4 linked regions of the Saccharomyces cerevisiae S288C genome follow. The gene in region 4 interacts genetically with the main gene of each other region. Each region holds a gene or a part of one and is shown on either strand. Other genes may lie near its edges. The genes, in order: FRM2, GRE1, YLR046C and FMS1.

What was found.
Region 1: mutations in FMS1 (region 4) and FRM2 together harm fitness more than expected from each alone (negative genetic interaction), as found in Saccharomyces cerevisiae (one large-scale study listed by BioGRID).
Region 2: mutations in FMS1 (region 4) and GRE1 together harm fitness more than expected from each alone (negative genetic interaction), as found in Saccharomyces cerevisiae (one large-scale study listed by BioGRID).
Region 3: mutations in FMS1 (region 4) and YLR046C together harm fitness more than expected from each alone (negative genetic interaction), as found in Saccharomyces cerevisiae (2 studies listed by BioGRID).

The regions. Positions count from the first base shown.
Region 1 is NC_001135.5:74,204-76,884, forward strand, and holds FRM2 (type II nitroreductase), read right to left. Parts: upstream 1,083-2,681; coding exon 501-1,082; downstream 1-500. Other genes in the region: amino acid transporter AGP1, read right to left, coding at 1,815-2,681. UniProt on the Saccharomyces cerevisiae protein: Type II nitroreductase, able to reduce 4-nitroquinoline N-oxide (4-NQO) into 4-aminoquinoline-N-oxide (4-AQO) via 4-hydroxyaminoquinoline (4-HAQO), using NADH as reductant. involved in the oxidative stress response.
Region 2 is NC_001148.4:128,132-131,017, forward strand, and holds GRE1 (Gre1p), read right to left. Parts: upstream 1,008-2,886; coding exon 501-1,007; downstream 1-500. Other genes in the region: FMP40 (Fmp40p), read left to right, coding at 2,031-2,886.
Region 3 is NC_001144.5:237,501-240,539, forward strand, and holds YLR046C (uncharacterized protein), read right to left. Parts: upstream 1,314-3,039; coding exon 501-1,313; downstream 1-500. Other genes in the region: STU2 (Stu2p), read right to left, coding at 1-203; FRE8 (putative ferric-chelate reductase), read right to left, coding at 1,847-3,039.
Region 4 is NC_001145.3:313,627-317,403, forward strand, and holds FMS1 (polyamine oxidase), read left to right. Parts: upstream 1-1,750; coding exon 1,751-3,277; downstream 3,278-3,777. Other genes in the region: STB4 (Stb4p), read left to right, coding at 1-1,379; MAC1 (Mac1p), read right to left, coding at 3,539-3,777. UniProt on the Saccharomyces cerevisiae protein: Involved in the production of beta-alanine, a precursor of pantothenic acid. Multicopy suppressor of fenpropimorph resistance.

The sequences.
Region 1 (2,681 bases), on a different chromosome or scaffold from region 4:
CGAATAATCATTAGTAAAAGCGGTATACTGGATTATTGTACGATAACAAGGTAGAGCTTTATTACTAAGCTAAGACGTTCTTACATCAATAGTGCTGTTCGTTATTGATGTTAGGAGAAGGAGCGGGTCTGGTGAATAGTGTAAGCAGTGTTTCTGAACTTTTTCTTCGTCTAAGTCCTTGTAATGTAAGGTAAGAATGCAAGCATCTTGTTTGTAACGCGATTGTACGTTGACGTTAGTAAGTCACAAACCCAAGCTTAACTTCTTCGTGAGGAAGGAAAGTGTTGTCTCCTACTTTTTTCAAATTTTCGAATTGTATTTATATTTATTTAGTACTTCTTGAGTTTACATATCCTTCGTAAAAATGCAACTTTTGTCGAAAAACACTTCCAAAAAAAAATAATAATGAATTTATGAAGCATACTAACGAGCGAGCACATCGCTGAGGTATCATTACTTCATGAGATAAATTAAGATCTCCTCATATGCGAATTTCCTGTTCAGTGATAAACGTTGATTACGTTATTGATAAAAGTCTTTTCTTCTGGCAAGGCAGTTGGAACACCAAAGACCAATTGAGATTGTACAGTCCACGCAATAGGAACATCTTGAGGCAAAGCAGATTTGACGTAGTCATTATAGTGTTGCAAATTAGCCCCCAATCCCAATAGTTCGAGGGCAGTCCAAGACTGAATTTGCACAGCACCGGTCGTATGAGCGGCGCATGTTGGGAAAGCGGCTGCCAAGGCTGGAAAATCTCTTTGCAGTTTTTCAGTTGGTCCTTCATCAGTGAAGAAAATGACTGAACCGTAAGCCTCATCTCTGCAAGACTCTGGTCTCTTCTTGGCTTCAGCAGTTGGCATTGCGCTCGCAACAGCATCCCATATCCTTTTGTGTGTATCACCAACGATAATGACAGCGCGATTCACTTGTGAGTTAAAAGCTGTTGGCGTATTCTTGAGAATAACGTGTACAGTTCTCTTTACATCATCCAAACCGACACCTTGTGGTAATTCGGGCTTCAAATTGTAGATGGTACGACGGTTTGTAATAGCGTTTAAGTAGTTTCCAGTTGGGGACATTTCTTTGGCTTGGAGGTCTGGTGTTCTTGATTTTGATGGTGTATATAGCTTTAAAAAACCAAAAATGATCAACCTTTATATCTCTCTTCGATCACAACATGGGTGGAGACAAACACAAAGTAGTGATGACCCACTCAGGTGTTAAAGTGTGTCATATCTGCAAATGACACTGTATTTTTTTTTCCTTTGCCATTTATTGTCGCAGTAAGGAAAAGCGCAGAGCAAAGCTGACAAATTGAAAAATTATTCGGAAGAGCATTGACAAATATTGATTAATAATCAAGTAACACTCGCAGACATTGTTATTTCAGAAGTAAAAATATCGCAGAACAAGTTGGTTAAACTGAATGCTTCAGTCATTCTAATGCTAATTACACCTTAACAAAATTAAAAATTCTTAACGTAGATTTTTAAAAAAGGCAAGAAGATCGTTCCTGATGCACGACGAAAACGGTTGCACCCCTACTAAGGCAAAATTGCATATGCGGATGAAATCAAACCTCTTCTGTTGCATTAAGAACAAAAGGAAATCATTTTTCTCTCACTTCATATTATTTCACTTATATTTTCCTCTCCACTTCCATCACGCAATCGTTAGTGCTTTTTATTTTTTTTCTTCGCTCATAAAGGACTAGAATTAAAATGAAAATCGTCTATCATTACACGTATGCTATTACTACAAAACAGAAGTACAAAAATGAATAAATATAAAAGAAGTAAATGCTTTTTTTTTTAACACCAGAAGGCAACGACCCTTTTCCAATAAGGTCCGTTCCTCAAACGTTCCCTATATTCTTCGTCTTCTTGCTTGATTAATTCTTCATCAAAGATTTGTCTATGAGAATCTAGGTCGATCTTGTCTGCCCTGATGAACAGTTTCCAATCCTTGTGCCAGACCTTGTAGCCGACATAAAGTGCAATCAAGATTGGCATAGCCAAGTAGTTTTCGAAAAAGGCTTGTGCATCCAGCTTACCTTCACCAATGGGGGCGATAGCGACCCAAAATTGGGCAATAAGAATTAAAATCATCATAATGCAAGCGTAGGCAGATCCCCAAACACCAGTTTGAGATTTGAAACCCAATTCTCCAAGAGATCTCCCTTGGACTTTCATGGCTCTTCTAAATCTAAGATGGGATAAACAAATGGCAGTCCATGTGAAAAGCTGAGACAAACCAGAAATGGCCAATAACCAAGTGAAAACTTGTTCTTCCTTGGGAGATGCAGCACAGAAGGCAATAACGGCAAACAATGCAGAAACACCCATGGCAATCAATGGTCTACCGGCTCTGTCGATGTAGGAGAAAACCTTAGGAGCGTAACCTTGCTCGGATAGAGTTAAAAATAAACGAGCACTGGAGTAGAAGGAGGAGTTAGCCATGGACAGCACGGAAAGTAGAATAACGGCGTTAATGAAGTGTGGGACGACACGGACACCGTGGGATGCAACAGCAATGACATATGGCGAGGCTTTAGTACCACCACCGGTAGAACCCAATAATTGATCGGAATTGTATGGCACCAAGAAACCCAGTAGAATAATGGTAGCCAAGAATAGGAATAAGATTCTGTAGATCATTTGTTTGGCCGCACCTGGAAT
Region 2 (2,886 bases), on a different chromosome or scaffold from region 4:
GTTCTAGAATAAAAAAGTATGGTTGTAAGAACGCACTTGAAAAGGCACCAATCTGCTCGGGTTTTTACAACTAACACTAACCTAGATGAGAGGTAAAAAGAAATCGTAAAAAAAAGTTGTTGCCCAGCACAATAACGACACTTTACCCGCTAATTCCAGGAGGTTTGAGTTAGACAACGACCTTCCCACCCCGTTTTCCCATAATTCTATTGTTATACACCTGGATCTGGAGGTCCGTGAAACGGCATACCTCGACGAAAAAGGTCACTACTAATCAAATCAAACTGACATTAATAAAAACGTATAAACTGACAGCTGTAGATCTAAATAAACTAGATTAAACATATGAAATAGTTTGTAAAAAGTGGCATCATGACCAATAATAGGTCCAGATGAAGAAAAAAGAAAAAAGAAGACGAAATTAGGGTAAAATTTCTCACTTGCTGCTCAAGGGTGAGACCCGCACCTCAGGCATGTAATAGAAGCTTCGACCACCGCATCTACCAGACGCCTTGGTTCCCACTATCATCATCATATTCATCGTTTCCTGACCCAGACAGATCGCGTCTACCGCTGCCGATATTAGAGGATTGGTAGCGGTTACTTTGAGCACCTCTTGTACGACCTTGTTTTTGCTGTTGGCCCGAAGTCAAGAAGTCATCGTCTTCATCGTCGTCCAACTGACCTTGAGTGTTAGTTTCGCGGTAAGTTTGGGTATAAGTGCCACCACCAGTGCCGGCAGTGTAGTCAGTAGTTTGTTGCTGGAAGTCGTTACCGCCAAACTGCGTGTTACCGCCTAGATTAGACTGTGGCTGCTGGCGTTGAGGGAAATTCCCTTGGTTTTCTTCGCCGTAGGGATCGGCCTTGGATCCTTGATTCCTGAATTCCCTCTGTTGATGTTTTTCATGACGCTGTTGTCTAGTCTGGTCGTCATTGTCGTCTTCGTAACGTTCATCATGATCGTTGCCGTGCAACTTATCAGCAAACTTGTTTAATAGATTGGACATTTCTTAATTGTTATTCGTACTTAGCTTTTATGCGGTAGTGTTTGGCTCTGCTGCTAGTAGATATTAAGAGTTGAGGGTAGGTATGTATCCTTTTTTTGATGAAATAGTAATGTGCTTTTATAGTCCAAGAAATATTGACTGCTTCAAGGGAGCCTGATTAACAAGCACGTAACGGAGACCAAAAAAAGGATTTCGGTCTTTTCTAACCATTTCCCTTTACTCCCTTGTGCGTTATTTGTTTTGATTACTAGGCATGATGTATGGAGGAACTTGCGATCAAATGTCATAAAAGTGGAGGAGTGAAAAGAAATGACGAAGCCCAAAACGTGGTCCTAGAATTACCACATTTCCTTTTTCTAAAGGAAGCCAGACTATGCTTTACGCAAGAACTGTGGTTAAAGAGGGATATTCTGATGAACATAAATTCATACACATTCATGAGAAGCACGACAAGGATTGGTTAATTACTTACAACTAAGGCAAAACTGCCATTGACCTCATCTGTACCACCACATGCTGTGTAGTTATTTTCCCTTTGTGATCCCTAAAAAAGATGGGATCTACACACCTTACAAGAACATCCTCAAACCCATACCTGGAACCACTGAACATATTCTTCCCGTGAAAGGCTCTACGGCGAAACTACTGTAATGTCACAGGAAATTAAGGATGCTTCGACTATGGAACGGACCATACATGGGGACCCGATGTATAGAAAGCCTCAATGAGGCAAAGAGTCTAGCTCCTTTAAGATACGTAATTCTCCTTCTGTTTTCCCTTAATTATTCGGGTGAAATACCACATGGTCGCACGGCTGACGGGGAACTCCGGAATTGGACGATGAAGAACTTAACGGTGATATGAGGTGATCGTGGAACAAAACGTTGTGCCAAAGAAGCCACAAATACGTCACTGTAATTATTCTGCCTGCATAAAAAGAGCCATCAAGGATAAGCTAGAGACTATACTCCGGAAGTAGAAGAAGGAAGGTGTGAGAAAGAAGATAGAGCGTGTAACACAATCATGGGGGAAAAAAGGACAATAATCAAAGCGCTGAAAAACTCTGCAGCGTCCCACTTCATCAAGAAGTTGACCGCAGATACTTCCCTGTCGTCCATACAAGAGGCAATAAACGTCGTGCAGCAGTACAATGCAACGGATCCCGTGAGATTAAAGCTTTTCCATACGCCTCGGATGGTTTCGCAGGGGGCTCATTTTGCATTTTGTTTGCCCACTAAGAAACCACATTACAAGCCATTACTGCTTTCGCAAAACGCACTTGATGAGTTTAATTTGGTGCAGGATCAGGACTTGGAGAAAATACTATCCGGTGAGAAAGTATATTATTCCGATAGTATCTTTCCCTATAGTACAGTGTACTCCGGATTTCAATTCGGCTCATTTGCTGCACAGCTGGGAGACGGACGTGTGGTAAACTTGTTTGATCTTAAGGACAAGTGTAGCGGACAATGGCAAACGTTTCAGTTGAAAGGTGCCGGTATGACGCCATTTTCTCGGTTTGCAGATGGGAAAGCTGTGTTAAGATCAAGCATACGTGAATTCATAATGAGCGAGGCGTTGCACAGTATTGGAATTCCATCCACAAGAGCTATGCAATTAACTCTGTTACCGGGGACGAAGGCGCAAAGGCGCAATCAAGAACCGTGCGCTGTTGTATGCCGTTTTGCGCCCAGCTGGATCCGCTTGGGTAACTTCAACCTATTCAGATGGCGGCACGACTTGAAAGGGTTGATCCAACTATCAGATTATTGCATTGAGGAATTGTTTGCTGGGGGGACCCAATTTGAGGGGAAACCCGACTTTAATATATTCAAAAGGGATTTTTTTCCTGACACTGAGACGAAGATTGATGAGCAGG
Region 3 (3,039 bases), on a different chromosome or scaffold from region 4:
TTAGAATCAGTTATATATTGTGCAAATAATGTAGGATCCCTCCAGTAAATTTGTATGTTGTCATCCCTACTGATGTCGCCAACGGAGTTTCTAAAAAGCTGGTTTAACTCCTTATAAGCTTCTAAACGTGCCTTCCATAACTTGTACGTTAATCGCTCTTCTAGGGGTAACGTTGTATAATCTACTTCTTCTTCTCCTGACATAGTCAACTTCAAACTCTTTAATAAAAACTCAAAAATACTTTACACTGTAAAGATAGCTGTTTCTTTGTAGTTTAGTAATGCTATTTGGTCCCTAGGTCTGGTAGGTTCTTCATTTACTCTTCCTATGGAGTGTCAAGCAGACAAAACAAAAACAAAAACAAAAACAAAAACGACACGAAAAAAAATAGATTCGTTAACCATGATAATCTTTGCACCATATAAAGGAAAAGACAAGATTGACTTCTAATGCCCAGCACAAATATTATCCAACTATTTAATTAATAAATTTTTGACTACTTAATCTTCAGACACAGATTCCTTGTCTAATAATTTGTTTAATTGAATATTGACAGATTTATCCTGCAGCTTGAACAAATTTCTTGCGCGAAAGGTTGCTAGGAAAATCAAAGGTAGTAAAAACATTAGAACTGTATCGAAAACGTAAAGGCACCATTCGTGCTGACCTATATAGCTTTGTAAGCCCATTAGAAATTGTACTACTCTGACAATGGTTCTACCATTAACCAGCAATATCCCAGCTAAAAGTATAAAATTGTACTGGAACCATTCATTACTATCCCGCACAATTTTACTAGGCGTTGCCTTCATTTTATAGTGAAGAAAAAGTTGACTGAACGTTAAAAAGGTATAACAAAATATCTGAATGAAAAGACCCACAATAATTAGGATACGCCCAGTATTCCTGCTGTTCCATGAGGATAACAACCCACCTCCTACAGCCTGTAGGACACGCCCAATCATATCTGCCACTACGAAAGAAACTGTACTAAATTTCGCAGGAATTAACATATATGCCTCCATAAGAATTAGACGTGCCATTTTGCTGAACAACATAAAAATACTAAGGGCGTAAAGTGAAGGTGCTATCAATAGAAGCACCGATTGAGCAATGAAAGTCGAAATCGAGGGGCTATTGATAAAGACTATTTTCAACACATAACCCACGAACTCTAAACAAATCCCTAAAACGAAAGGAAAATGTGTCCACATCAAACCGCGGGCAGGAAAGTATATTATTGTGGAATTTTCCTCTGACAACTCATTGTTTTCCCAGCGATGAATACGTCTCTTGCTCGTGTGTGTTGCCATTATGATCTGCACCAAGGCAGAAAGGATTAAAATGCCAAACAGAACGACAAATGCAATCGCTGCACCTTTGTGAGGATTGTATGCATAAAAACCTTCATAATCAGTGATTGCTTTAGTAAAAAAATTCCTATTGAGGCAGTTGAGTTCTTTTATCGACAATAAGTCTCTAGTACAGTAGTGAGAGTGTCATGTATTCAGTACCAAGAAGAACTTATATGCCTTTTATAATTCATCTTATAAGTTGCTAGACATACAAATAATCAATATGGAAATGTGCTTATTCCCGCTAATATCCATTAATATCCGCTGTCATTTTTCGCAACTATCACCAAGTGGAGAGAGGCTTGACAACCACCAGAAAAAAACTAAATCAGCCTGCGGAACTTTTCTCGGAAAAAATCAGTTAGAAAAGATCGTACATAGGGCCCTTTTTTGACAGTAAGATTAAAGAGCAAAACGGGACATTATAGATATGCCACCATCAAATACGTGAATTTTCCAAGCCTCATAAACTAATAGCCAACTTGCAACTCTTATAATGCAAAACTTTCTCCGTGAAAGTGTAAACCACCATCTGTCGCCCATCTTTTGGTGCTTTCAATTAAGCCTCTAGGGCCTGCAGCGAGAACCCATACTTGTGACAAATATTCAGCATGGTCTCTGCCTTGATTCGCCCACCTGCAACATTGAATAGAATCCGTCTCTGCATCACATTCGGTTTGCAGACACCATTCATAATCCTTATCTCCAAGTGTAGGCCTGCCAAAGAACACTTTAACACCTGCGGGAATTCTGATCTTTTTAGGCGCCGCCTCTAAACAAGGATCTTGGGCAGGTGGCTCAATGATCTTTGGTTGTCTGAAAACGCTCGATCCGTTAAACGAAGAATGTGTAGTTAGAGTTCCTTGTGCAGTATTTTTCCTTGATTTGGATCTGCTAAAAGCATATGTAAAATCTATCTCGTCATCAGCATTGATGTCAGGTATATCACTTGTTTTTGGTGGGTGATGGTTTCTCAAGGTAGATTTCTTACTTAGAAGGGCTGTGTTCTCATTGGGCTCCGTAGGTTGGGGATTTCCATCTGATAACATGGAATTATCTCCCAGTTCTGAAACTCGGCCGCTCGAAGAAATACTCCTGACTTCATCATTAATATCAGCAGCGCAGTCATGATAGTCAATATAATCAATTTCTATGTCCTGTTCGTTGCCTTCGGTGCCACTAATATATATCTCCATACCTTCAAAATTGTTTTTGAAGTGGTTCAATACTTCCAGATCCTTATAATCTCTAGAAACCCAAAGGAGCCTAACGTTTACACCGTTGAAGTTTAGAATACGAAGTAGTGGTAAGCCAAAGGAAATTCCTGAACCTCCAACACACATAAACACTCTTTGCGCTTTAATTAGAAAATTTAAAGGCGAATTTATTAGTGCAGAAGAATTGTTTCGAAATGGATTCTTGGAAGATTTCGTGGTAATATTAAAAGGAACAGTAGGTTTAGAAATGAAACTCAACTCAGGTTCAAAAGCCCCTGTAATGTAATACTTTTCATTTGTACGCAATGGAAAATGCCCGTTTCTAATAATTAACCTGACCAAATTATCACTTGGAATACTAGCAATAGTAAAAGGATGTTGGAAGGGTATCAAATGGGAGAAAAACCTCCTTAAAAAATTTCTATGGTAAATGTTGATCCTTAGATGCCCTCCTGGTAGGATGGGCT
Region 4 (3,777 bases):
TAGAGGAAAATTTATTCAAATACGCTTATTTAATAATCAACACGCTGACCTTTGAGTGGGAATCATTCGAACTAATACAATCGTGGCTTTTGATAACCTTCTATTTCAGAACCTGTTACAGACAGACGGCGTGCTGGAACGCGTTAAGTCAAGCGGTGAACATGTGTAATGGGATGAGTCTATATTTAAACAAATTTCCTGAGATCCATTCCACTTATGATGAATCAAAAGCATGGCATTGTTTCTGGTGTTGTTTTATAATGGATAAGTTGATAAGTTTTCAAATGGGTCGATTCTACCAACTATCATTACCCGCGAGCGAGATGTGCGAACAGATGAATCTAGTGAAGTCAAAGAAATTTTTACAAGAAGAAGATGATTGGTTTCACGAAGAGACTTTTCAAATGCTTGATTTGTCCATAATAGTGACACAGTTTTTAAAAAGAGACGCACAGGATTTAAATTTGAACGAGACCGTGCAATTGCGCAGCCAACTTGGTCAATGGTATGACACCTTTATAGTTGGAAGTCAAACCAATGCGTACGACGACAATTATCGTTACTTCTATCAAGTTCAACCATTCATGACATACCTGGATATAAGGCTGACTTTCGAAGTAAGACAATTATTTTGTCTAATCGCCCCCTCATCTACCGCAAATAATAAATCCCTAGAATATGTCGTCGATACTGAATTGTTAATTTCTCATTGTCAAATGGCTATTGAAAATTTGGCTGAAATTACGAGAAGTAATCTTTTCTTTGTTCCGTGGTGGTTAAACCTTTCTCAACTATTCACGGTAAATTTAATATGTATTATCTACCTGCACGCAGGGATTGCCGTAACTCAAAATAAAGCTATCATGCAAAGCTGCCAAGAAATATGGCGAACCTTAGAGTGCTCTAAGCCAAAAAATCGGCCTTCAATGCTTCCTGAGTGCTTGTGGTGTTTGAAAATGCTGAATCATATGTTCTGCATACGACTGAGAGATTCTGCTTTGCAATTGGAAGCTACTCTCGGAACTGATCATGGTGATGACACCCCTAATAGAAATAAGTTTGAGCAGTTCAAGAAAGTTGGCGATAATGATGCGGATGTTGAAGTTGATGCTGGTGAAAGAGAAGAAAATGCTGATGAAAGACAAGAAAATCCACATAACAATAGCAAAAGAGTACCATTAGCTACTAGGTCTCATAATACCACTAACTTCGACGGTTCAATCGCAATTTCTCCGGAAAGTGCAGTAGCAAATCTAGGTACTGATACTGGATTGCCCTCAGATGTTCTTGATACTGTCAGTAAAATAGGGAACTCTCCTAATGTGTTTGATGATGATTTATTTTCCAATTTATTATGGTTTGACCAAAATTTTGCATAAGGATTCTTTTTCTATTCCATAAAACCATTTTATGGACACGTTTACCTACATATTATTATATTGTATATAAGATGTTGAAAAAATTGAGTCAACCTCACCTTACCACATGTTGGTCCGTTGCTATGACAAACTCTCGTTTTACAAGAAGGAGGCTCAAATTTCGGGTCACCCACCCATATACGGATGTCACGCTATGAGATCTTTTAAACAATAGACAATTTTTGGTATCCTAAAGATATAAAAGAGGAGTTTTTTTAAACCATGGTAACTATTTTCAAATTTGCTCTGCTGCAGTTTTTTATTTCTGTTTTTCTTTTTTTGTTCCCAACAAGAAGTGAGTTAATAAAGGCAAAAACAGTGGTCGTGTGAGAATGAATACAGTTTCACCAGCCAAAAAAAAGGTTATTATAATTGGTGCCGGTATTGCTGGGCTTAAAGCTGCATCTACGCTACACCAAAACGGTATTCAAGATTGTCTTGTTCTTGAGGCCAGAGATCGGGTCGGTGGTAGGTTGCAAACTGTCACAGGCTATCAAGGTCGGAAATATGATATAGGTGCTAGCTGGCACCATGATACGTTGACAAACCCTTTATTTTTGGAAGAGGCTCAACTGAGTTTGAATGATGGGAGAACGAGGTTTGTTTTTGATGACGATAATTTTATTTATATCGACGAAGAACGTGGAAGGGTAGACCATGACAAGGAACTGCTTCTTGAAATTGTGGACAATGAAATGAGCAAATTCGCAGAGTTAGAATTCCATCAACACTTAGGAGTTTCAGATTGCTCCTTTTTTCAATTAGTAATGAAATACTTACTACAAAGACGCCAATTTCTCACAAATGACCAAATAAGATATTTGCCACAACTCTGTCGATATCTGGAATTGTGGCACGGCTTAGATTGGAAGCTTTTGAGTGCCAAGGATACATACTTCGGTCACCAAGGAAGGAACGCCTTTGCTTTGAACTATGATTCTGTGGTTCAAAGAATTGCTCAAAGCTTTCCTCAAAATTGGTTAAAGCTAAGTTGTGAAGTGAAATCAATTACACGAGAACCTTCAAAAAATGTGACAGTGAACTGTGAAGATGGTACTGTGTACAATGCTGATTATGTTATTATTACAGTACCTCAAAGTGTATTGAATTTGTCTGTACAACCTGAAAAAAATTTACGGGGAAGAATAGAATTTCAACCACCCTTGAAACCAGTGATTCAAGATGCTTTTGACAAGATCCATTTTGGAGCGCTAGGTAAAGTAATTTTTGAGTTTGAAGAATGTTGTTGGTCGAACGAAAGTTCAAAAATTGTAACTTTGGCTAACTCTACCAATGAATTTGTCGAAATAGTACGTAATGCGGAAAATTTAGATGAATTAGACTCTATGCTAGAAAGGGAAGATTCTCAAAAGCATACGAGTGTTACTTGTTGGAGCCAGCCTTTATTTTTCGTAAATTTGTCAAAAAGCACAGGAGTAGCAAGCTTTATGATGTTGATGCAGGCACCGCTTACAAATCACATAGAATCCATTAGAGAAGATAAAGAGCGTCTTTTTAGTTTTTTCCAACCTGTGCTGAACAAGATTATGAAGTGTCTAGATTCTGAGGATGTCATCGACGGAATGAGGCCGATAGAAAACATTGCAAACGCTAATAAACCAGTCTTAAGAAACATCATCGTTAGCAACTGGACACGCGATCCTTACTCACGCGGTGCTTATTCGGCCTGTTTTCCAGGAGATGATCCAGTTGATATGGTTGTTGCAATGTCTAATGGTCAAGACTCCCGCATAAGATTTGCAGGCGAACATACTATCATGGACGGCGCCGGCTGTGCCTATGGTGCTTGGGAAAGCGGAAGACGGGAGGCGACTCGAATCTCTGACTTACTGAAATAGAATCTATTTTTTCGAAATTACTTACACTTTTGACGGCTAGAAAAGGATATACATACATATTAAAATTTTTAGTAACACTCTGTGCTTTTTCAAAAATTTGAGGTACACCTAATTCTCCCACTTGTTGCTTATACCAAGTTTGAACAATTTTAATGTTAAGCACAATAGATTGGAATATTATCATATGGTGGTTCAGAGAGTAGTAGGGTGCATTTTCATTCCTGTTGCCTCAATGTGTTTTCTATCTGTATTTACGTGATTTTATGAAGTGGTGGCATCGCTTAGATGTGGTGCATAATTAGAGACTAATTTTTGAAACCACGCATGAATGTCAAGTAATTCTAACTGAGCATCTGTCATCAATGGCACTTGCAACTTCAAAAAATCCCACCAATATTTTGACGGCACCAATTTACCTTTGAATTTTATTTGAGTTTTCCTTGTTAATCTTGCATTCAGAATTCCATAGAAAAAGAATTTTTCAAATGGAATTATATTTG